4 linked regions of the Oryctolagus cuniculus genome follow. The protein of the gene in region 4 purifies or fractionates together with the protein of the main gene of each other region. This does not show direct contact. Links are inferred from orthologs where the notes say so. Each region holds a gene or a part of one and is shown on either strand. Other genes may lie near its edges. The genes, in order: STK35, KPNA2, KPNA1 and CTDSPL2.

Region 1 (5,115 bases), on a different chromosome or scaffold from region 4:
GTTCCAAGTTTACCAAATCCCTTCACCACCTCACCTCTGCACTGCTTGGAGCCGCCAACATCTCTCACCTGGATTGTCAAGGTCATTTCCCATCTCAGCCCTCACCTGCTGCCTTACGTTCTTTTTAGCGCAGGAGACGGAGACCAGATTATGCCACGACTGTAAGCACCAGTGGATTTTCACCTCTCCCCAAAATAAAAGCCGGACTTGACTCCTGGTTACCTCCCTACCCTCTTTTCTTGTCTGCTCCACCTCTCTTGCCTTTACCCTGGCTGTGATCTGTTTGGGACACTCTTCCCTAAGAAATCCAAGACTCACTACCTCAACTCCTTATTTTTCTTCCAAGATCCCACCCTGAACCCTTCCATTTAAAAGCACAACCCTCACCGCCCAGCACTTAGCACTTCCTAATAAATTGCCTATGCCTACTATCTGCCTGACTTCCCAATTGAATGGAAGCCCTACAAATGCAAAGAATGCTGTCAGTCTTGTTCACTGAAATACCACCTGTGCCTACAATGGTACCTGGCAAAAGTGTGGGAAAAAATGCACTAAATGAATAGATGGATCAAGCCTCTCATTCTACCTGGCCAGATACAGGTCACCCACACCACCGACTTGAAGCTTTTGGCACCACAAGGTTTGGCTCTGGGCACACAGACTCGGGCCCAGGATCACAACTCTAAATGCCCACCCAGAACTGGGAAGGACAGGCTATAGTCAAATTGGCACCACTGGTACTTAAACTCGTAATCTATCAGAGCCACACAATTCAGTTGAGACGCTTACCTGTAGCTACATTCCTAGTTCCTAATCTTTTCTCCTGTTTAAGGCCACCTGTTGTCCTAGATGAAGGAATCATCCCTCTTGAGAAAGAACTTCACCCTGCAAAGCAGCACAAATCCCAAGTGCTGTGCCCAAACAGAAGCCCTGATCTCAACATGTTGTGACAACTCCATAATCCTAACCCAAACCCAGGTGCCTCTTCCCATGACAACCTTCTTGCTGCACCAGAGTAAACCTGAATTCTAGATTCTTTCAAAAGCAGAAAAGGAGATGGAAATGGGACGTGACAGCACGAAACGTAATTAAAATGCCGTCTAGCCTAGTCTTGTGGCTTGTAACATACCGCTACTCCAAACCTAGCTGTGGGGAATGTTGTTCTCTCACTCAGTGGGTAGCTGGACAAATTGGCCTGACACCTGGAAGGTACTCAATAAATGTCTGTGGAATGGAGAATTCAAGCTAGTGACTCACTCCAGAAATACGCACTCTGAGAGCACCACAGACATAACCAGGCTCAACTTGGTGTGAGCCAACTGCACCAATTAACGAGGCTGAGGAAGAGAAAGGAGAGCCTCGCAGTGACCCAGGTGACGCAAGGCCCTGTGCTGAGATGCCCGAGGCCTCTCCCTTTGTGGTCACTGGGGTCAGCACTGTCTCCCACTATCTGGGAGTCTCATTTCCAGTTTGGCAAGTTGATGTTAAGGAAAAGGCAGCTCAGAGTAAGACAAACCTGTCCTTAACTCAGCAGGGCTTGAGCCTTGCAGGGCTGTGAAGGTGAACCATGTGGAAACACCTGCCCCGTGCCGGGAGCCATCTTACTTCCCTTGCCCATACTAGGACCCTGCTCTGGTCCGCAGAATGACTGCTGCTGCTCTTGGTACACGCTTTCGTCTGTCCAGTGCGCCAGGCTCCTGCCGGCTCCTGGCCCCACACAGAGGTGGGTCCTTCTACCTAACACACCTCTGCCCTAATCCCGGTTCTTGCCTCTGGACACTACCAGCCCTTCTCCCCACCCTTTTAAGGAATGTTAAGGCCAAGTTCACACAACACTTCACTTTAAAACAACTGTAACTGATGTCTCTCCCCAGCTCAGCTGCAGAACTCATGGGGATGGGGAATGTTTCTGATTGGGTTGATCACGTAACCCACAAGCCTAGACAAATGAAAAGTCCGCCACACATCTAGTAAGCAGAGGCTTCCACATGAGTATCCACTGTAGTATGTACAATGGAGAAACAGCCTGCTACCTGAACTAGAATGGTTCAAGTAGGGTACCCAAAATGGGATGTCACACTCAGGAAACTGAAATCCACGCTCAAGTGTGATGGGAGAAGGCTCCAAAGAGTGCAAAGTACAGGGAGCAACGTTCCATATAACTACAAGGCTTAAACTCTGCGGAACTGGATCTGATGACAGGGACAGGATCAGGGACGGTATTTACCCACTGAAAATAGCATTTTCTACAGCGAGCAATGATTACTTGATGGTGGGAACAAGAGCTTCTTAAGAACCTTAAGGGACAGCTCCAACGCAACCTGCTCTCAGACTTCTCTAGACTTTACGGCTTATATTCAAATAACCCCACTCTCTCCTGGTCAAGACTTGGGGAGATGGTGGAGAACAAGCACTCGGATCTCTTGCACCCCCCTCCCCGCCCCGCCCAACTCCAGCGTAAAAGCTCGGTCCAGCAAGCGTTCGTGTTCAAGCACCGAACAAGGAGAGTACTCACCTAGTTTAAAACACCCAAGATGCTCAGCCCTGAATTTTAAGCAGCACATGTGACCTGGTCCATTCTGGTTTCAAGTTCAAAGGCATCAGGCCGGTCCTGTGGGTTAGCAGCTAACATGTCTTTCAAGAGCTGCTTGATCCCCTCAGACATGGAAGTCCTACGTTTCTGGGGGATGTGCAACTCCATCTTTGGGTTTTCTAGCAGCGCCTCGCCAACAGGGACGATCTCAGTGCCCTGTTTGATGTAGGTCCCCAGGAGCTCCTTCTTGGTCTCAGAGTCAATAAAAGTGATTCTCTCTATCATTGCCCAGATGATAATGCCCAGGGCAAAGATGTCCGCCTTGGCCGTGTAGTGCCCCTCCCAGACTTCGGGAGCCATGTAGAAGTCCGAGCCGCAGGCAGAGGACAGCCAGTACTTGTTCACATTCACATTTTTGTTGTCTGGATTGCCCTCTCTGCCACGGGGTGCCAGCCCGGCACAGACCTTGCTCAGTCCAAAGTCTGCCACCTTGAGGATGGGGGTGCCCGACCGCTCGGTGATGAGAATGTTGTCCGGCTTTAGGTCCCTGTGCACGATGTGGTTTTTGTGCAGGAAGGCAATGGCACTGGTGAGCTGTAGCATGAAGCTTTTGTTGGTGGCGGGATCCGGCCTCCGAGACAGGACATACTGATTCAGGTCTCCACCTTCACAGAACTCCATGACAAACCAGAGATAGCACGGCTCCTCCGCGTAGCCCAGGATCCTTTCTCCTGGATCAAAGACAGGAAGGAGCGCGAGTGAGACGGACACACGGGCACAGCACTATTAGAATAAAAGAACGCAGCGTTTTAAAGTTCAGAGTGACAGAGGTGATGAACAAGAGGTGCTCCAAGAACACCTGCATAGCAGGTACCACACCTGTGCCTTTCACACACAGGCCTGTTTCTACCCACAGCAGACAAGGTCAATACACAGGCATGAGGCTCCGATCAAGCACTGGAGTTTGGAATCAAGTTGAGGTAGGAACTCAGTTCTCTGCTGTTTGGTGGACTAAGAAGCTATGTTTTCCTTGTGTGGTCTTCAAGCAAGCAGCTCCCGCCCATCCCTCCCAGGGTACTGGCCATGACACAGGTAAGGCAAGAGAGACAGCCATTAGATGTCCACGGCTTCTGTCACTGTTACTCCGTGCCAGGCAGATGACCTTCCCTCTCCTCTCTGTTGACCTGTAGAAGGATTCTCATGAACACATCTGGACTAGCACTACCACTCTGCTTACTTCTGAATCACCCTCCAATCCATCAGTGGACTCTGCTAGCCCACCAGACGCCTAGCACGGGCTGGGCACATAAAGAGCCCCATCTACAGGAAGCTGAGTGACAAGGACCTACAACAGCGGGCCATACCTGCATCAAGGTCAACTTCTAGGAACAGTGAAGGGTGGGCAGGAGTCCCCAGGTCTGAGGACGTCATCGGCTGCAGGACAGGCAGCAGTGTAGCAGGAGGCAAGAAGGGAATTCTAGACCAAGAGACGAACTGGACAACAGAACACGGGGACAAAGGAATGGAAAGGAAGTCCGCTGGGAACAGTGGCATCTGAATTAAGTTGTGTGGTCTTGAAACTCCAGGAAAGCTGGTGACTAATTCCTCTACGTAAATCTCAACTGAGGCAGATGAGGAAGCTGGACTGCAAGGGAAGGGACCTGCCCTGCATGGTCACTGGGCATCTGGACCTCAGCCAGGACCTGAGTCCTCCAGGCCCCCGCATGCTGTACCCATTATAGCAAAAACAAGGGCTACACCTTCTCAGGAAGACTCTGCCAGAAGGTTCCTCCCACTAGACTTTTATTCGACTTTATTACAAAGAGAACCAGGTACACGACTAACCCAGTAGCCCCGGAGCTCCAGGCTGAGACCAGAGATGACCTGACATGCAAGACAAAAGCTTTAGGTTTGTGACCACAATCTGACAGGCCTCACTTCCCTTGTCATTATATAATTTTCTTGTTTCTATTACTCTCAATCAGAGTAATACAGGTAGAACCAGTTTAGGGCAGATGGGTTTCTTTTTTTAAAAAATCAGTTGCTTCCTCTCTCATAATCCTCTTTCTAGGTCATTGGCTGAGTGGGTCGAGGTGCTGGATCTAAAAACACCAGAAAATGAAGCAGCGATTTGAAACACAGATCAGCGTCAGTTGAAGAGCAAAGATCTGTTAAGGGGGAAGCAAGAAACGTCTCCTGGTGGCAAAGCCAGAAAGGAGTTTAAAAGCCATCAAATTCCTGCTGAAGGGCCTGGTCAGAAAACACTGAAACTTCGGGTGGGGGAATAAAGGGTGGGGAACGACATTATTTTATATACAAAGTTGGTAACCATGGTAACTGAAGTAGAAAGAAAACAAGTCTGCAAAACAGACTGAAGCATAGGGCTAGATTATGAGAATCCAAGGGAAGACAAAAAGGCGTGCACATACACACACTCACAAGTGCCCTGCATTAGTGAGTGGGTGGGGGAGACGGGCCCCTGGAAGGAGACGCCTGCTCTGAGTAAGTCAGCTAAGCTCAGGAGATGCTAAAGGCCGGGTGATTAAGACGCCACCTGGGACGCCTGCATCCCCTGTTGGAGG
Region 2 (5,684 bases), on a different chromosome or scaffold from region 4:
ACTGCTGCATGAAGGTGACAGTCCAAGAAGCAGACTTGCGACTGCAGGTGAGCTTCCCAGTGGTCCAACAGGTGTTCCCAGCCGGGTAATCTGCATTTCTGGGCGGAGCTGAGAAGGCTGCACAGCCCTTAGCTTAGGGGCTTTCCCAGTTCACCCGGTGCCCTGGAGCGACACTCCACAACGGCCCTTCCCTGCGGGCCACCTGTGTGCTACCTGCTGGCCTACTGGGCTAAGTGCCCGCTCACTTAACTCCATCCCTGTGTGTGTAACACTTAGAATCTTCTGGGAACATACTGCTCAATGTTTTTTTGTTTTTTTTTTTTTTTTTGGCAGGCAGAGTGGACAGTGAGAGAGAGAGACAGAGAGAAAGGTCTTCCTTTGCCGTTGGTTCACCCTCCAATGGCCGCCGCAGCCGGCATGCTGCCACCGGCGCACCGCGCTGATCCGATGGCAGGAGCCAGGTGCTTCTCCTGGTCTCCCATGGGGTGCAGGGCCCAAGCACTTGGGCCATCCTCCACTGCACTCCCTGGCCACAGCAGAGAGCTGGCCTGGAAGAGGGGCAACCGGGACAGAATCTGGCACCCCGACCGGGACTAGAACCTGGTGTGCCGGCGCCGCAAGGCAGAGGATTAGCCTAGTGACTGCTCAATGTTTTTAAAAGTATATGCTTATTGATTTATTTTCACTGGGTTTGAATGTCAGGAACAGAGAGAGAGAGAATGTGAGAGAGCACTTCCAACCACTGGTTTACTTCCCAAACACCAGTTAACAGCCAGGGCTGGGCCAAATTGAAGCCATGTGTGACAGCGCAATGTACTTGAACCTTCACCTCTGCCTGCCATGGTGTACATCAGCAAGAAGCTGGTTCGGAAGTGGCGTATCCAGAAGTCAAACCCGGCACTCCGCTGTGCTGCATCAAATTCCTATCTCATAATCGGTATTTTCAAGCGAAAGGAACTGAAGTAACAGCATTGGGTCCTGCGTACCTGCGGAGGTGAGGCAGGCTGCTGCCCAGAGCTCAGCTTCTTTACAACTTGGTTATTCAGAGTCTCAGGACTCCCAGCCTTCTATTCAGATCAGAGCTGCTTTCCCACCTCCAAGAATTAAACAAAAGGCATAGGCTTCCCAACTGGATGAATTTAGGTCATGTGCCGGCCCCGAACCATTCCCGGCAGCCAAGAGGAGGCCCTGCGCTGATTGGGTCGGGAGGAATTCCTTCCACATTCTTGCACGGAGGGGCATGGGGATACGCCGAGTGGGAGTAAGAGCAGCTCCTGTGAGCCCCTTGGCTGCTGTGCTACAAGGGAGCAGGCGTCGGTTCCTGCAAGAATTGGCAAAGTTCAGTTTGAAATTATTTTATAGTAAAAGGATCAATGCAAGTTTCCTTTAGAACACAGAAGAATAGCAGAAAGAAAACAAATGGCTCATAATCCTGATGCTAACAACCATCCTTACTGGTTAAAAAGAAAGAACATGACAAAAACTGCAGATTTTATTTGGAAATGCATTAAATACAACATAGACCGTTCCTGGGACAACTGGCAAAGCTGAACACAGAATATGATAAGTAATACCAGGAGAGTTCAGTTTTCCTGAATTGGATGACTGCTGTGTGATTGTATCAACGAAAGATAAGCTCTCTCCCCCGGGAGACGCATTCTAAAATGTTAGGGTAGGACATGCTTTTTGAAACTTTCAAATGGTTCCAAATATACACGCACATGCACAGAAAAACGGGTGTTTCCCTGTAAATATCGCAAAATGTCAGCATCTGGCAAATCTGGGTGAAGATTAGCAATTCTTTGACATTAAAAATTTGTAAAACGTGTTGGGAGAAGCAGACATCATAAACCGTTTGTTACCATCGCCGAAGCTTCTACAGCCTCTTATGACGCAATTAAAAAGACCCAAAAATTCCGACGGCAGGGTGCTTTACTCCCCGCTCCGTCCGCGGCCGAAAGCCTCGCCCGGTTCCTCCGGTTCTACCCTCAAAACGACGCGAAATGCCCTTCACACAACTGTTTTAGGTATGATGTCTTGAGAACTTTTTAAAAAAAATTGTAAGAATTTATTGATACATTGGATCCTCAAGGTCACAGCAGAGTTTTTTCATTTTCTCGGTATTTGCTTAACCCAGCCGCTCAAAAACGAACAAACAAAAAAACGACCAAGGAGCAATGCGCGGAAACGCGCAGTCAGTGGAGGTTGACAGACGGGGCTGGGAGCCGCCCCATCGCGCGGCATGCCGGGATCTGTAGTCCTCCCACTCCGGCCTGCAAGGCGCTCTGGGATATCGCCCGACCGCTCCTTCATCTCGCGAGGCTATACTCCGCTTCTAGGCCCTCTGACCCTCCTCCCCTTCTAACGTGTTTTTTAAATCCACCAATGGGTACAAAGCTTAGGCTCGAACTGGCCAATCGGAACGCGGAGCCACCGGGAAATTTAAATCGCGCCGGCCGGCTGCACGAGGCACACCGTCTCAGGGCTGATCCGCGGTAGACGTTTGCAGGGCGGCTGACCGGCAGTCTGTGGACACGCACCGCCTCCTGGGGAAGCCTGCGTCGGCTGTGCAGGTACAGCGTGAGGCCGCAGCCCGGCGCGGGCGGTAACGGCTGCCCGGGAGGCCGCGCTCGGCTTGCGGATGGCGGGAGGGGAGGCCGCGGGTACGCGCTGGGCCCGGCTGTGGCCTCCCTCGCGGATGAGGCCTTCGGGGCGTCGTTGAGTGTCGCGGCGGCTTAGTGGGCGGCGCGGAAGCTGGGGCTCCGGGGCGCCGAGGTTCGGGAGGCGGCGGCGAAAGCCGGAGCGCGGCGGGCTGGAGGGCGAGAGGCCGGCGGAAGGGCCGGGGCGCCGGCCTCGCCTCGGCGGGCCCCGCCGCGTCGTCCCTGGGGCGGGGGCGGAGGTGGCGGTTGGGGCCGAGTGAACACGGAGGTTCCGGCGGTGCGGGGTCGCCCCGGCCGCGGCCCCCGCGAGTCCAGGCTCTGGCAGTGTAGACGTGTGCGCGCCGCCGAGGCGCGGCCCCGCGCTGCGGGTGGGCGGCGTTCGCGGGGAACGCCGGGGCAGGCTCGGCGGGGTCGGGGTGCCCGGGGTGGTGGTTTGCCTGCCCGCGAGCGCGGCGGGGGTCCCTGCTGGCCCCCGAGGGTCTGCGTTCACTGCCGCTGCCCTCGTCCGTGGTGGGCTGTCGGGGGCCTGGCCCGGAGCCTCCCTGCCCGGGACGGGGGCGCTGGGGAAGGGGCGTGAGCGTCCAGAGACGCGAGATGGGATAGAGTGAACGATCCCTCTGTATGTGGAAGCGATAGTGTTTTGGACAGTTGTGTTAAGCAGTGGATCATTCCCCCTTTGGCCTTGTCAGTGTGGTGCCGGGCAAAGGGTGGGCAGTGCTGCTCCAGGGGGGCTTGGACCCTCGGAGGGGGGGGGGTTGTAGGAGCGACGGCCTGGCGTTCCTCCTGCAGGGTGGGGGTTGCTGGGCTTCCTGCCCTTGGGGTTCCGTTGGACAAAGCAGACTGGGAAACCGGAGTGTTGCCCTTCCTGCCTTCCAGCTGATTCCTTCGGTCTCGTCGCCATGTCCACCAATGAGAATGCCAACTCACCGGCCGCCCGGCTCCACAGATTCAAGAACAAGGGGAAGGACAGCACCGTGAGTACCTGCTGCTTCCCCGTGGGAGCTGCAAGACAGGAGCTGGGGTGGGAAGGGGGGGGACGGGAAGCTTTTTCCTTTTTTTTTTTTTTTTTGCAACAAAGTCGGATAGGTGAGGGGATGTGTGTCTTGTCTCAAGGAAATGAGACGGCGCCGAATAGAAGTGAACGTGGAGCTGAGGAAGGCCAAGAAGGATGACCAGATGCTGAAGAGGAGGAACGTGAGCTCCTTTCCCGACGATGCGACTTCGCCGCTGCAGGAAAACCGCAACAACCAGGTAGGTTCTGCAGCGGCTCGGCGTGTTTCTGACATCTCAGTTCCGTTCCTGGTGTTGGGCTTTAATGGTCACCTCTGTGAAGATTTCTGACTCCCCTTCGCGTGCCGGCTGCGGGGCTGTCTTGACCCGACCGCTCCGCTGTTGGCTGGCGCGTCCAGAGCCAACCACTTCCTGATGGGTTTCTGCCTCTTCTGGTGTTCTCCATTTCTTTTATTTGTTCACATCTTTTCCCTCCTGAGATCTTAACAGTAGCTTGTAATTTATCTTTGGCTTCATTCTGTACCATATACTTTTTTCCCGAAACACAATCATACCATATAACGTTTTGGTCAACAGTGGACTTCAGCATCATGGGATCTGACGAAGTGGTAACGGAATTGGTACATGAGTATATAGCTGAAGAAGAGGCAAGAAAAGGGAACTTATAGGGGGAAACGAACCTCCAAGAAATTGACAGTGACAGTTTTAGCAGAAGCTTTTGTGAAACTTGGCAAACTCCTGAAAGAGCTTGAAAATATGGACGTGAACGCTGAGAGGTTTCTGTCGGTAGGAAGGAATGTCATGGCACGTTAGCTGCTTCCCGCTGGTCTGCGATGGAAGGGAAATTCTCCACGGACGGACATGCGTGTTTCAGAGCAGCCCCTCGGGAGGAGCCTCGTGCAGGTCTTCCGGAGGCCATTGCTGTCATGGGAGGTGACGGCTCCATTCATGTCCCTGAGACCTCAGTGATGCCTAGACCCTGAGTAGACCCGGGACAGTGTATGTGATTGTTTGCTTTTAACAAAAGTATAAAGAGCAAAACTTTAAAAAACAAAGACAACTTTTGATAAGAAATACAAAGAAGGTATAGAGACAGGGGAGTGACCTAGTGTCTGAGATGCCACTTGGGATGCCTACGTCCCGCATCAGTGTCTGCCTTTGAGTCTCAGGCCTGCTTCTGGTAGAGCTTCCTGCTGAGGCACACCCCGGGGCAGCAGGCGATGGCTGAAATACTTGGGTCCCCGCCGCCCACGTGAAACCAGCTTTGAATTCCAGGCTCCCGGCTTTGGCTTGTTCAGCCCCAGCTATTGAGGGCATTTGGAGAATGAACCAGAGGATGGAAGCTCTCTATATCTCTTTCTTTCTTTTTTCTACTTTTTCTGTTTTTTTTTGAGGCTGCATTTTTATTATTTTTTTAAAATATTTATTTCCTTGGGGCCTGCACTGTGGCTCACTTGGTTAATCCTCCACCTGCAGCGCCGGCATCCCATATGGGCGCCGGGTTCTAGAACTGGTTGCTCCTCTTCCAGTCCAGCTCTCTGCTGTGGCCTGGGAGGACAGTGGAGGATGGCTCAAATCTTTGGGCCCTGCACCCGCATGGGAGACCAGGAGGAAGCACCTGGCTCCTGGTTTCTGATTGGCGCAGCACCGGCCGTAGCGGCCATTTGGGGAGTGAACCAGCGGAAGGAAGATCTTTCTCTCTGTCTCTCTCACTGTCTATAACTCTACCTGCCAAATAAATTTTAAAAAAATTTATTTCCTTGAGAATTAGAGTTACAAACAGAGAGAGAGAGACGGAGAGGTCTTAAATCTGCTGGTTCAGTCCCCACTTGGCTGCAACAGCCAGAGGTCTCCCAGGCAAGTGCAGGAGCCCAAGCACTTGGGCCATCTTCTGTTGCTTTTCCAGGCCATAGCAGAGAGCTGGATAGGAAGTGGAGCAGCTGGGACTACTAGAAACGGCGCCCATATGGGATGCCGGCACTGCAGGCAGAGGATTAACCTACTAGGCCACAG
Region 3 (5,115 bases), on a different chromosome or scaffold from region 4:
AAGGTGAGCTCCAATTTAATGAGGACCTTGATCAGGACCACAAAGCCTGAAACATTTCTTTAGTGCAGAAACACAACCTCTAGTCACACTGGTTGAGTCTGGGAAAACTAGAGGGATATTTTATATTTTTGTTTTTCTTATTTTTGTATTGAATAATAGGATATGGTTTTTTGATCACTAAGATTCTAAATCTTCATATCAATGTTAGAATTGAACCACTTCCAAATCCTAAGACACATTAAGACCAGAGAAGCCATACAAATTAATATGTGCTCCTCTTCATTCTGCTTTAAGGGAATCTGCAAACCTGTGTCACATTTAAGAGTCAAAGTGTTAATTCTTCAGCATTCCTGACAACTAGAAAGCACATTCACTGAAGGCTGAAGGTGAGGGAATGGATGGTTTAACTTTAATATCTGTAGAATGGCGCCAATAGAGGAAAGAAAACCATCCAATCTCAGTAAGGATTAATGCAAATTTGGCTAGAAAAAGCCGCCAGGTAATCCAAGGGTTCAGTGTGGAAGAACTCATGAGAAGTACTCTGAAGTATATGCATCGGGTCTAAACATTACCCTTGTCGCAAGTAGCTGTGAGAAATTCAAGATAAAGGTTTAGTTTCATCTTTAATGTCAGTATTTCTTTTCCCCACTTTAAAGGGAATGAGGAGTCCTCTTTTTCCCCTACAAAAAAAGGGAGCCACACTAATGTGTGTATTCCCATGATTCTAATAAGTGCAGATCTCCAAAGCCTAGGGATTTTTCCATAAGAGAGTGGGCCGTTCTGGTTACCCTTTTATTAGAAGGGTATTCCACCACAGAGAGCCAGAGGTTTTCCAATGTGTGTAAAGAGCAGGTGCGCAAGGCAAGCAAATGAGCGCAAACAGTATTATGGAAAACATTTGAGAAGTTAGCTCCATGAGGACTGTGGGCTCCACAAGAGGACTTGACTGGGTAGCCTGGTGTGACACAGGAACAAGAAAGCAGAGTATTGCTTCAAAGCTGGAAACCTTCCATAGGAGCCTCACACTGCTGGAAGATGTACTGCTGCTGGCTAAGGTCAACCTGGGGTGCAATGCTGCTGTCCTCATCTTCGGTCCCAAAGTAATGCTCAATAAGATCAAAGGCCTTCTGGTAGATCTCTTGGTTTTCATGACTCTGTAAGAATTCAATTTTATCCAGACCTAGAAAGAATAAAGGAAAATCTTTATGAAAAACTTCAGGTAAGCTACATTTTACTGTATGTTTCCTTCTTCGATGTAAAGCAGGGGTGGGGTGTATTCCGCTCGTGGGCCACATAAGGCTGGTGAAATCTTTTGGTGTAGCCCTGACAAGGCAACTGCAGGTGACAAAAAATCCAATTAATCTACAGCAGACTAACTAATTTTAAGTTGATAATTTTGTATGCCCTACAGATGATGTTATAAATATCCAATGGCCCTTGGCAGAAAAACGGTCTCCCACACCTGATATAAAGGTAGATTCTCTAATACCTCAAGTGATACCACAGAAATGATTCCTGGAATTACATCTGAAAGCTATACTATAGACTGCCATCTTAAAAATACAGAGAAAAAGGGGCCAGCATGTGCCATAGTGGGTAAAGCTGCTGCCTACAATGCCAGCATCCCACATATGCGCCAGTTCAAGTGCTGGATGGTACAAGTGCTTGGGCCCTACACCCATGTGGCAGACCCGGAAGAAGCTCCTGGCTCCTGGCTTTGGACTGGCCCAGCTCTGGCCGTTGCAGCCATTTGGGGAGTAAACCAGTGGATGGAAGATCTCTCTCTCTCCCTTCCTCTCTCTGTAAACTCTGCCCTTTAAATAAATAAAAATAAATCTTAACAACAACAAAATAGAAAAGTAACATCCAGTCTGTAAAAGCAACAATTTCCATAAAAGCAGTCATTATATCCCCCAGTGCCTAGCAGTGGTGTTAATGTTGTTACTGAACTATATTTATGGCCCAATTAATTCTTTGCCATAAACTTTTTTTTTTTTTTTGACAGGCAGAGTGGACAGTGAGAGAGAGACAGAGAGAAAGGTCTTCCTTTGCCGTTGGTTCACCCTCCAATGGCCACCGCGGCTGGCGCGCTGCAGCCGGTGCACCACGCTGATCCGATGGCAGGAGCCAGGTACTTCTCCTGGTCTCCCATAGGGTGCAGGGCCCAAGCACTTGGGCCATCCTCCACTGCACTCCCTGGCCACAGCAGAGAGCTGGCCTGGAAGAGGGGCAACCGGGACAGAATCTGGCGCCCCGACCGGGACTAGAACCCGGTGTGCCGGCGCCGCAAGGCGGAGAATTAGCCTAGTGAGCCACGGCGCTGGCCTGACATAAACTTCTTCAATCAAAGCATCTTACCATAAGCCTCTTCAATCAAAGCACAGTAAGGATTAATGCCAGTGCCGTTCCTTTTGGCTTCTTGTTCTCCAAGCCTTAGGATGTTTTCCAAGCCATTCAGGGCAACCTGGACAATCTTAGAGTCCATGACTGTGAGGAGATCACAGAGCGGCTTGATACAACCCAGTTCTACCAGATACCTAAAGTTAATACAAAGAACAATTTAATCAAACAAGACTTTACGTTTCATAAAACTTTTACAAAATGTGTGAATCATCCTTCTCAACTCACTGCAGAGAAAATAAGGCTACAACTTGCTACACATAAGTTAATCAAAGCCAGCCTGTGGCTGGTTTATTTCTCCCCAGTTTTTGGATTCTAAAAAACTGGGATACTTTCCTGCTTTGACTATAAGCAGCTCATCAAAACAATATAGTTTTGATTAACTTCCTCTTCGTTTCTGTAGGTAGTCATACCTCTCAAACATGACATACTTGGTGCTTAAATCAGCACAAGCCCAAAGGCCAAATATTCCAAACACGATTAGCATCTTACTAAACAAGTTGCAAAAAGGCCATATGGAATTATAAAACAAATGTAAGGACGCCTCTAGAGCCAGTATTTTTCCTTTAATCCAGATAGAATATAATCAAGATTAAATGATGAAACAGCGATATGAGATCTCTACACCATAATCACAGCAGATATTCATGTCCTTTTGTATCATTCTGGTTTCTCCTGTGTGTAGAGAGGCGGAGATGATGAATCTGGTTGCATTCTGTGGATGTGAATAGTATCATTTTGAACTTACTATTATAAGTGCTAATCTATATTTTTAAGTTTCAAAAATATATAAAAATAAATCTCTGGCTAGGCAAACCAACCTTAAGAAAAAGACAAATTACTGGGATCACAAAAGAAAAAACGGTCATCATTTATGACTCTGTGGACATTAACAGGGCAATAAAGAAATATTACAAACAACTCTATACCCACAAATTTGACAACTAGGACAATAAAACAAATCAACTTCTTGAAAGATGTAAACTGGGAGGGTTGCGGGTGGGAGGGAAGTCATGGGGGGGTGGGGGGAGCCAATGTAATCCATAAGCTGTACTTTGGAAATCTATATTCATTAAATAAAAGTTTAAAAAGATAGATGTAAACTACCAAAAATCACAAGGAGAAATGGATAATTTTAATAGGTCTATATGTATTAAACTCAGTCAATACTGAATAACCTTCCAAACTACAAAGCACCAGGAGATGGTTTCACTGGTGAATTTTAACCAAACATTTAAAGACAAAATGAAACTTGTTCTACCATTCCTTCTAGAAAACAGAAGAGAGAGAAGACTTCTTGGCTTATTTCATGATGCCAGCATTTCCTTAATACCAAAACTAACTTTGTTTCTGCTTAGAATGCAAAATAGGATAACTTTTTAGGAATATAGCCTAGCAGTTTCTTAATAGATGTCTTTTATCAGTGATGGCATCGATTTATTTTCTATAATTTGGACTGTAATATTTTTAAAAAATTCTTTCAAGTTGGGCAAGAAGAGATCACTAGGAAATTGATAATTAACACATTATAAATATGGTGAGTTTCAAAGAGGGATGACAGTAGGCACGTGGCACAGCAGTTTAAGCCACAGATTCAGACACCAGCTTGCCACACTGCTCAAGTCCCAGCCACTCTACTTCACGTCCAGCTTCTTCTTAATACGTCCTGGGGGATAGCAGATGATGGCTCAAGTGCTTAGGTCCCTACCACCCATGTAAGACATCCAGATGGAGTTTCCAGCTCCTAACTTCAGCCTGGCCCAACCCCTGCTACTGCAGGCATTCAGAGAGTAAACCAGAGGATGGAAGATCTCTCTCCCCCTCTCCCTCCTTCCATCTTTCCCTCTTTCTGCCTTTCAAGTAGATGAGAATAAACAAACATTAAAACCAAAAAAGTTGGGGGTGGCATAGCAGGTTAAGCCACTTCTTACAACCTCATCATCCTGTATCAGAGCACTTTCTCAGGTCCCAGCTGTTCTGCTTCTGATCCAGCTTCCTGCTATGTTTGTCTGATAAAGTCAGGTTCCCCTATTCTCGTCATCATTACTTGTTTTCTATTTGAGAATTTTTTCCTATCTTCATCCAGAATTTAGCATTTAATTATATGATGCACCTTTGAGGAACCAATTCTTTTTTTTTTTTTAAGATTTTAAAAATTTATTTATTTGACAGGTAGAGTTACAGACAGTGCAAGAGAGAGACAGAGAGAAAGGTCTTCCTTCCATTGGTTCACTCTCCAGATGGCCGCAACGGCTGGAGCTGTGCTGATCCGAAGCCAGGAGCCAGGTGCTTCCTCCTGGTCTCCTATGCGGGTATGGGGGCCCAAGCACTTGGGCCACCTTCTACTGCTTTCCCAGGCCATCAGCAGAAAGCCGGACTGGAAGAGGAGCAGCGGGACAAGAACCAGCACCCACATGGGATGCTGGTGCCACAGATGGAGGATTAACCTAGTGCGCCACGGCGCTGGCCCCATGGAGGAACCAATTCTTGGCCACATATATGCCTTCTCTACCCTTTAAGATTATAAGCTACTACCAAGTGAACCATTTAAATCTCAAACTACTACAGATCTCTCCCTTTATTGAATACCATAATATTTTAGAAGACAACTGCTTCTTCTGAATTTGGCATACCTCTATTTCAGGTTTGGTCCAAATCTACTATTAATATATCTAATCTAGAAATAACAACAGTTACCTATTAAAATTGGGTTCC
Region 4 (5,115 bases):
GAAAACACTGCCTCTGTACTCAAAACTTAAGACTTTTTGTTCTTGTTATTATTCCCTAGACAATACAGTATAACCACTATATATCCACACTGTATCAGGTACTATACCTAAGGATAATTGAAAGTTGATAGGAAGGCAGCTGGTATTGTAGTGCAGCAAGTTAAGCCATGGCTTGTGACACTGGCATCCCATATCAGAGTGCAGTTGCTCTGCTTATGATCCAGCTTCCAGCTAATGCATCTGGGAAGGCAGTAGAAGACAGCAAATGCTTGGGCCCCTGCCATCCGTGTAGGAGACCAAGACAGAGTTCCTCATTCGTGGCTTCAGCCTGGCTCTGACCCGGCTGTTGTGGCCATTTGAGGAGTGAACTAGCAGATGGAAGGTGTGTGTGTGTGTGTGTTTCCCTCATTCTGTCGCTCTGCCTTTCAAATAAATAATCTTTAAAAAATAAATAAAAGATACATGATAATGTGCATAGATTATATAAGGGGTTTGAGCGTGCAAAGATTTTGGCAGCTCCAGGACATCTTGAAACCAATCCTTCAGAGATAAAAAAGGATGAGTATATAAAGATAACACAGTTAACTTAGAACTAAATTCCAGATTTAAAAAACTTTCTCTGAAGTTTTAATTTTCTAAGAAAAATTAAGCTATAAGAGGCCAAACTAGAAGACAGGAAAAAGTGTTAATCCACTGAATTATTCTTTCTACATTAGTCTTACAATTGATCCATGCATGTAGAAAAATAATTTCCTGAATAAAGTTTCAGTGACATAAGCATTAATTCTAGATGAGAATTATGAAAGCAAAGTGAAATCAATTTAATGTTATTTCTAACATACCTTTTAGTGACTTGAAAGAGCATATTGTAATTGTCAATTAAAAACAATCTACACATTTTAAAACACTTATATCTATAATTTTAATATAATATATAAGGTTTGAACATACTCATAGTCCTTTTCAAACTATGCCTCAATCCCTCACTATAGTTGATCATTAAATTTCACTACACATAAAGTGAAAAAATTTAAAAAGATTTGTTGGAGGGCCAGCATTGTGACATAGTGGGTTAAGCTGTCACCTGCTATGCCGGCAACCCATGTGGGCACCGGTTCAAGTCCCAGCTATACTGCGCTACTTCCAATTCAGCTCCCTGCTGGTGTGCCTGGAAAAGCAACAGAAAATGGCTCAAGTGCTTGGGCCCCTGCCACCCATGTGGGAGACACAGAAGAGGCTCTGGACTCCTGGCACAGCCCTGGCCATTATAGCCATTAGGGAATGAAGCTGCAGATGGAAGATCTGTCTTTCCTTCTCTCAGTGGCTCTACCTTTTAAATAAATTATTTTTAAATTGTTTTAATATAATTAAGAAAACCAAAATATAAAAATATAAACTGTAAGATACACTTACCAGTTCTACAAGCTTCTCCAGAAATGGAATCAATTTTAGAAGTTCATTGTCATTTTTATCCATAAACCAGCTTTCTATAGGGATTCCATTAGAAAGCTGAAATGATAAATAAGTAATTAAATGTTCCTTTTACTTATATTTTGCCTGGTATGGAAAGCATAAAAAAGATACAATAAAATTATTGATTCTTAAAAGTTCTTATGAAAAGGAACGCTTCCAGAGTTGTCTCTTACAAGTCAATAGTGCAAGGGACAGATGTTAACAAAGCCTAATTGGTTTTCAGTGTCACTTTTCCTTGGTAAGCATAAAACTAAACAAGAGAGCTCCATTAAATCAAGTTTAGGACCATCACAGCTTAAACCATATCTTTATTCATTCATTCAAGAAATAGTTACTACATAGAACACTAGCAGAAAGCATACACCTTTTATTTAATCATTTTTTTTATACAGGGACTATGTCATATTTATTGTTCTACTCCTAACAACTAGCATAACCTGAAACACAGTAGGAACTGAACAAATGGATTCCATGGTGTTTCACGGAAGAGAAATCTAAAAACAAGAATGTAAATCATTTTTGTTTCTTTATATTTAAATTCAGGCTAAACATCATGTTTGAGATAGAGGATAACTGAAATGACTGTACCTAGGAAAACAAGATAAAATTCTTAAAAACATGTTTTAAAATGCAAGCAAATAAAAGCAGAGACCCGAAGTGAACACATTTCAATACCATATACAATTCTTTACATTAAAAAAATAAGTTTTATTACAGACATTTTGAAACAAAGGACCAATCTTGTCTCATCTATACCCTAATCCATTTTTCAGTTTTCCTACTCTGCTAATTTATCATGAAGCCACTCTCAGAAATTGTATCACATGGACATGTTCGGAAAGTAAAATATATTTTACAAAGATTGCTCATCTTTAGTTGTAGTTGCTTTTCAAAGAAATATTAACAGAGGGCACAAATATGTTAACAAAATAGTCTAAGAAAAATCTTTCAAAAGGTTAAACAGACCAGAAAAAAAAAAAAGTTAAACCAATCATAACTCCAACACGTTTATGATTAGCAGCTGTTAAGAAAAATTATTAAGCAATAGATATATTATAGTTCCATCCTATTCAGATGTACTACTCAGGTTTTCCTTCATTTATGTTGCATTCAGAAAAATTTTCCACAAAGAATATACCAATTTGGCATTTCTAATTCTAAAAGATGACACCCTAATCAGCGAAGTCCATCAGTGAAAATTCTGTTGTTCTCCCATCATATTCATAGTCTGTTTAGCAGCATTTGTCTTCATTGAATTTTTTCCAATCTGAATTTATTTAGCAACTCTATTCCTACCTGATATGCAAAGGCTTGCGGTGAGTTGTCAATTATTATAGTTTTTGAAAGATCTCTTCCAAGGATATTTAAGTCCTTTATATAGTTTCCTTGTACACAAACACAATGTTCACGGAAAAGCCGATGCCTAAATGTAAAAAAAAAAAATAATTAAAAAAAACTCTATAAAGTACAACATACATGGAAACATATACACATATATATATATATATCATAGGCTTTACTAGCTAGCCCTTATTATTTTCTTTCAGAAAAGAAATTAAAATACAAATATGGGCCTAGGCTCTGGGCTACAGTTTTACTATAAAATTCACAGCAATTACTGAAACTGTATACCAAATATTACTATGACTTTAAAAACTAGTTTATCCCAAACTGTTAAATTATAAAGGAGGAGGTTAAAAAAAAAATCTAAATCGTTTTTGTAATTTATTTACCCAGGAAAGCTCAGCTCAGATGCAGCATCTGGTTGTCAGCGAGGTCCTGCTTTATAACCAATTTTCCAGATGGTTGACTGAGGCACAAGGAGATCAAGTGACTTGCCCAAGGTCACACACAAAGTCAGTGGTTAGCCCCGCATTGGAACCCAGGATCCTCCTGGCTCCCAGTCCTTTGCTCTAAACCAGTAGAACACACAGCCTCCCTATCCCTGTACATGCCAGAATAGAAAATATAAAAAGGAATGTTTTTGTGTTGGCATTTTTAAGAATTCTTTTTTAGCTTTTCCTTATAGTTTTTCAGAAAAGGTACTAAGGCCAAAACATTCCATCCTGTCAACTTTTTATAAACAATCCTATTTTAATTTGTGGGAGTGTGTATGTGATCATTTGAAAAAACAGGGATTGAAAAATGATGAATTCAGATTTAAGTATTATAAATGTAGACTGATGTTTTACCAATTTTAGATAAGGAGAAAAATGCTGTAGCATTTGAAAAAGCTATTAAAGGTTTTACAATACTCATATACAATAGTAATTACAGAATCACCATTTACACTCAAAATATTAGCCCCTTTATATTACTAATCATTTTTTCATACTGAAATACCCCATTCTGTACATTAATAATTGTTAGTTTGTCTTCCCTGTTTCTTAGTCCCAATAATTTCTGATAGCTATAGCCTAGTCATACCTATAGTATGAAATTATATGACTTTCTACTCATAAAATCTGTCACAGTTTGTCAAAAAATAAGTATTTTTAATACCTCCCAACACGCATAAATAGACACTCAGCCTTAAAAGTATAAATAGTGGTAGTGGAAAAGAGGATGAATTTTGCAAACAGACAAAATGTACAACAGTTCTTTCACCCACTATTATAAGAAATATTTTCAATTGGTCAAATCGTCACCTGTCTATGGAAAGTTAAAAGGCATTTCCACTTTGAAAAAAATAAGAGTAGGCAGGTATAGCAAGTAAATGCAACTCACTGTTAATGTCCCTTCACTAGTAGTAGCAAACTCAAACAAGAAACAATGAAGTAAATAGACACTGCAGTTATTTCAATTAAATTACACTAAAAACCCTTTAATTAGTCAATAACCTTATGGTCAAAACAAATACTTAAAAGTTTAGAAAAAACTTCTTATGCCAGTCATCTAAGAACAGATCCTCTATGTCAACAAATCTGCATTTTAACTCAAAGGATTCAGAAATTAGAAGAATTTCTGCACATCTACTCTGTCACCAATACAGATAATCCCAACAGCACTCTTAACAAATTCAATCTCCATCCAAAAAGCTTTTCATCTTTGAGGTTTTCTAAACAACTAAATAAAACAAGTTTAAACTCTCAGTTGTGTAGATTTTGTAAATGTAGTTTAAAAGAGGGTGTTGATTTTATAACACATTGTAATAGCATGACTATGATCTGTTCCCTACTCAAATGAACTCTCTAAAAGGGAAAGGGGCTTGTACTGCTCACCACTGTTCCTTTGGAAGGTTAGAAATGTTGAACTAAAATCTTTAGAATGTCTGAAACCATCAACGCAAAATCATTTGCATGCTTTTACCAAAGCTAGGTAAAATAACAATAAACTACAATGTACTTTTGTGACTAGGAAACAGCATTTCTCATGTGTGCTGGCAGCTTAGTTACAACTACTCAATAATAAAAGTACTAGTAATAGTAGAAATTTAAATTTAGAATTTTCCACTAAGACAATATGGGAGAAAGTATTCAAAAAATTAATGCCTAGCTATCAAAGATTTTATGAACCTTTTGTGTCATCTGTTAGCTCTTGGTTAAAAATTCCTACATCTTCAGGATGTAGGAAGAATGCTTCAGTCTTAATATCTGACTTTAGCTGACAAAATTAATGGAACTCTCCTGTCACTTCCCACAA

The links.
Region 1: the proteins of CTDSPL2 (region 4) and STK35 purify together in Homo sapiens (affinity purification with mass spectrometry; 3 studies listed by BioGRID and IntAct, counting the BioPlex papers as one, with this or other methods). This does not show direct contact. The link is inferred for Oryctolagus cuniculus from reciprocal best matches to the Homo sapiens genes CTDSPL2 and STK35.
Region 2: the proteins of CTDSPL2 (region 4) and KPNA2 purify together in Homo sapiens (affinity purification with mass spectrometry; 4 studies listed by BioGRID and IntAct, with this or other methods). This does not show direct contact. The link is inferred for Oryctolagus cuniculus from reciprocal best matches to the Homo sapiens genes CTDSPL2 and KPNA2.
Region 3: the proteins of CTDSPL2 (region 4) and KPNA1 purify together in Homo sapiens (affinity purification with mass spectrometry; 3 studies listed by BioGRID and IntAct, with this or other methods). This does not show direct contact. The link is inferred for Oryctolagus cuniculus from reciprocal best matches to the Homo sapiens genes CTDSPL2 and KPNA1.

What each region holds. Positions count from the first base shown.
Region 1 is NC_091442.1:27,789,330-27,794,444, reverse strand, and holds part of STK35 (serine/threonine-protein kinase 35), read right to left. Parts: intron 3,265-5,115; coding exon 2,552-3,264; 3' UTR 2,516-2,551; intron 1-2,515.
Region 2 is NC_091448.1:13,973,043-13,978,726, forward strand, and holds the start of KPNA2 (importin subunit alpha-1), read left to right. Parts: upstream 1-1,892; 5' UTR 1,893-2,027; intron 2,028-2,265; exon of another isoform or gene 2,266-2,397; 5' UTR 2,398-2,641; coding exon 2,642-2,663; exon of another isoform or gene 2,664-2,775; intron 2,776-3,009; exon of another isoform or gene 3,010-3,028; intron 3,029-3,121; exon of another isoform or gene 3,122-3,279; intron 3,280-3,536; coding exon 3,537-3,634; intron 3,635-3,773; coding exon 3,774-3,911; intron 3,912-5,684.
Region 3 is NC_091435.1:78,642,486-78,647,600, forward strand, and holds part of KPNA1 (importin subunit alpha-5), read right to left. Parts: intron 2,538-5,115; coding exon 2,359-2,537; intron 1,181-2,358; coding exon 993-1,180; 3' UTR 1-992. UniProt on the Homo sapiens protein: Functions in nuclear protein import as an adapter protein for nuclear receptor KPNB1. Binds specifically and directly to substrates containing either a simple or bipartite NLS motif.
Region 4 is NC_091443.1:67,452,281-67,457,395, reverse strand, and holds part of CTDSPL2 (CTD small phosphatase-like protein 2), read right to left. Parts: intron 2,897-5,115; coding exon 2,770-2,896; intron 1,510-2,769; coding exon 1,414-1,509; intron 1-1,413. UniProt on the Homo sapiens protein: Probable phosphatase.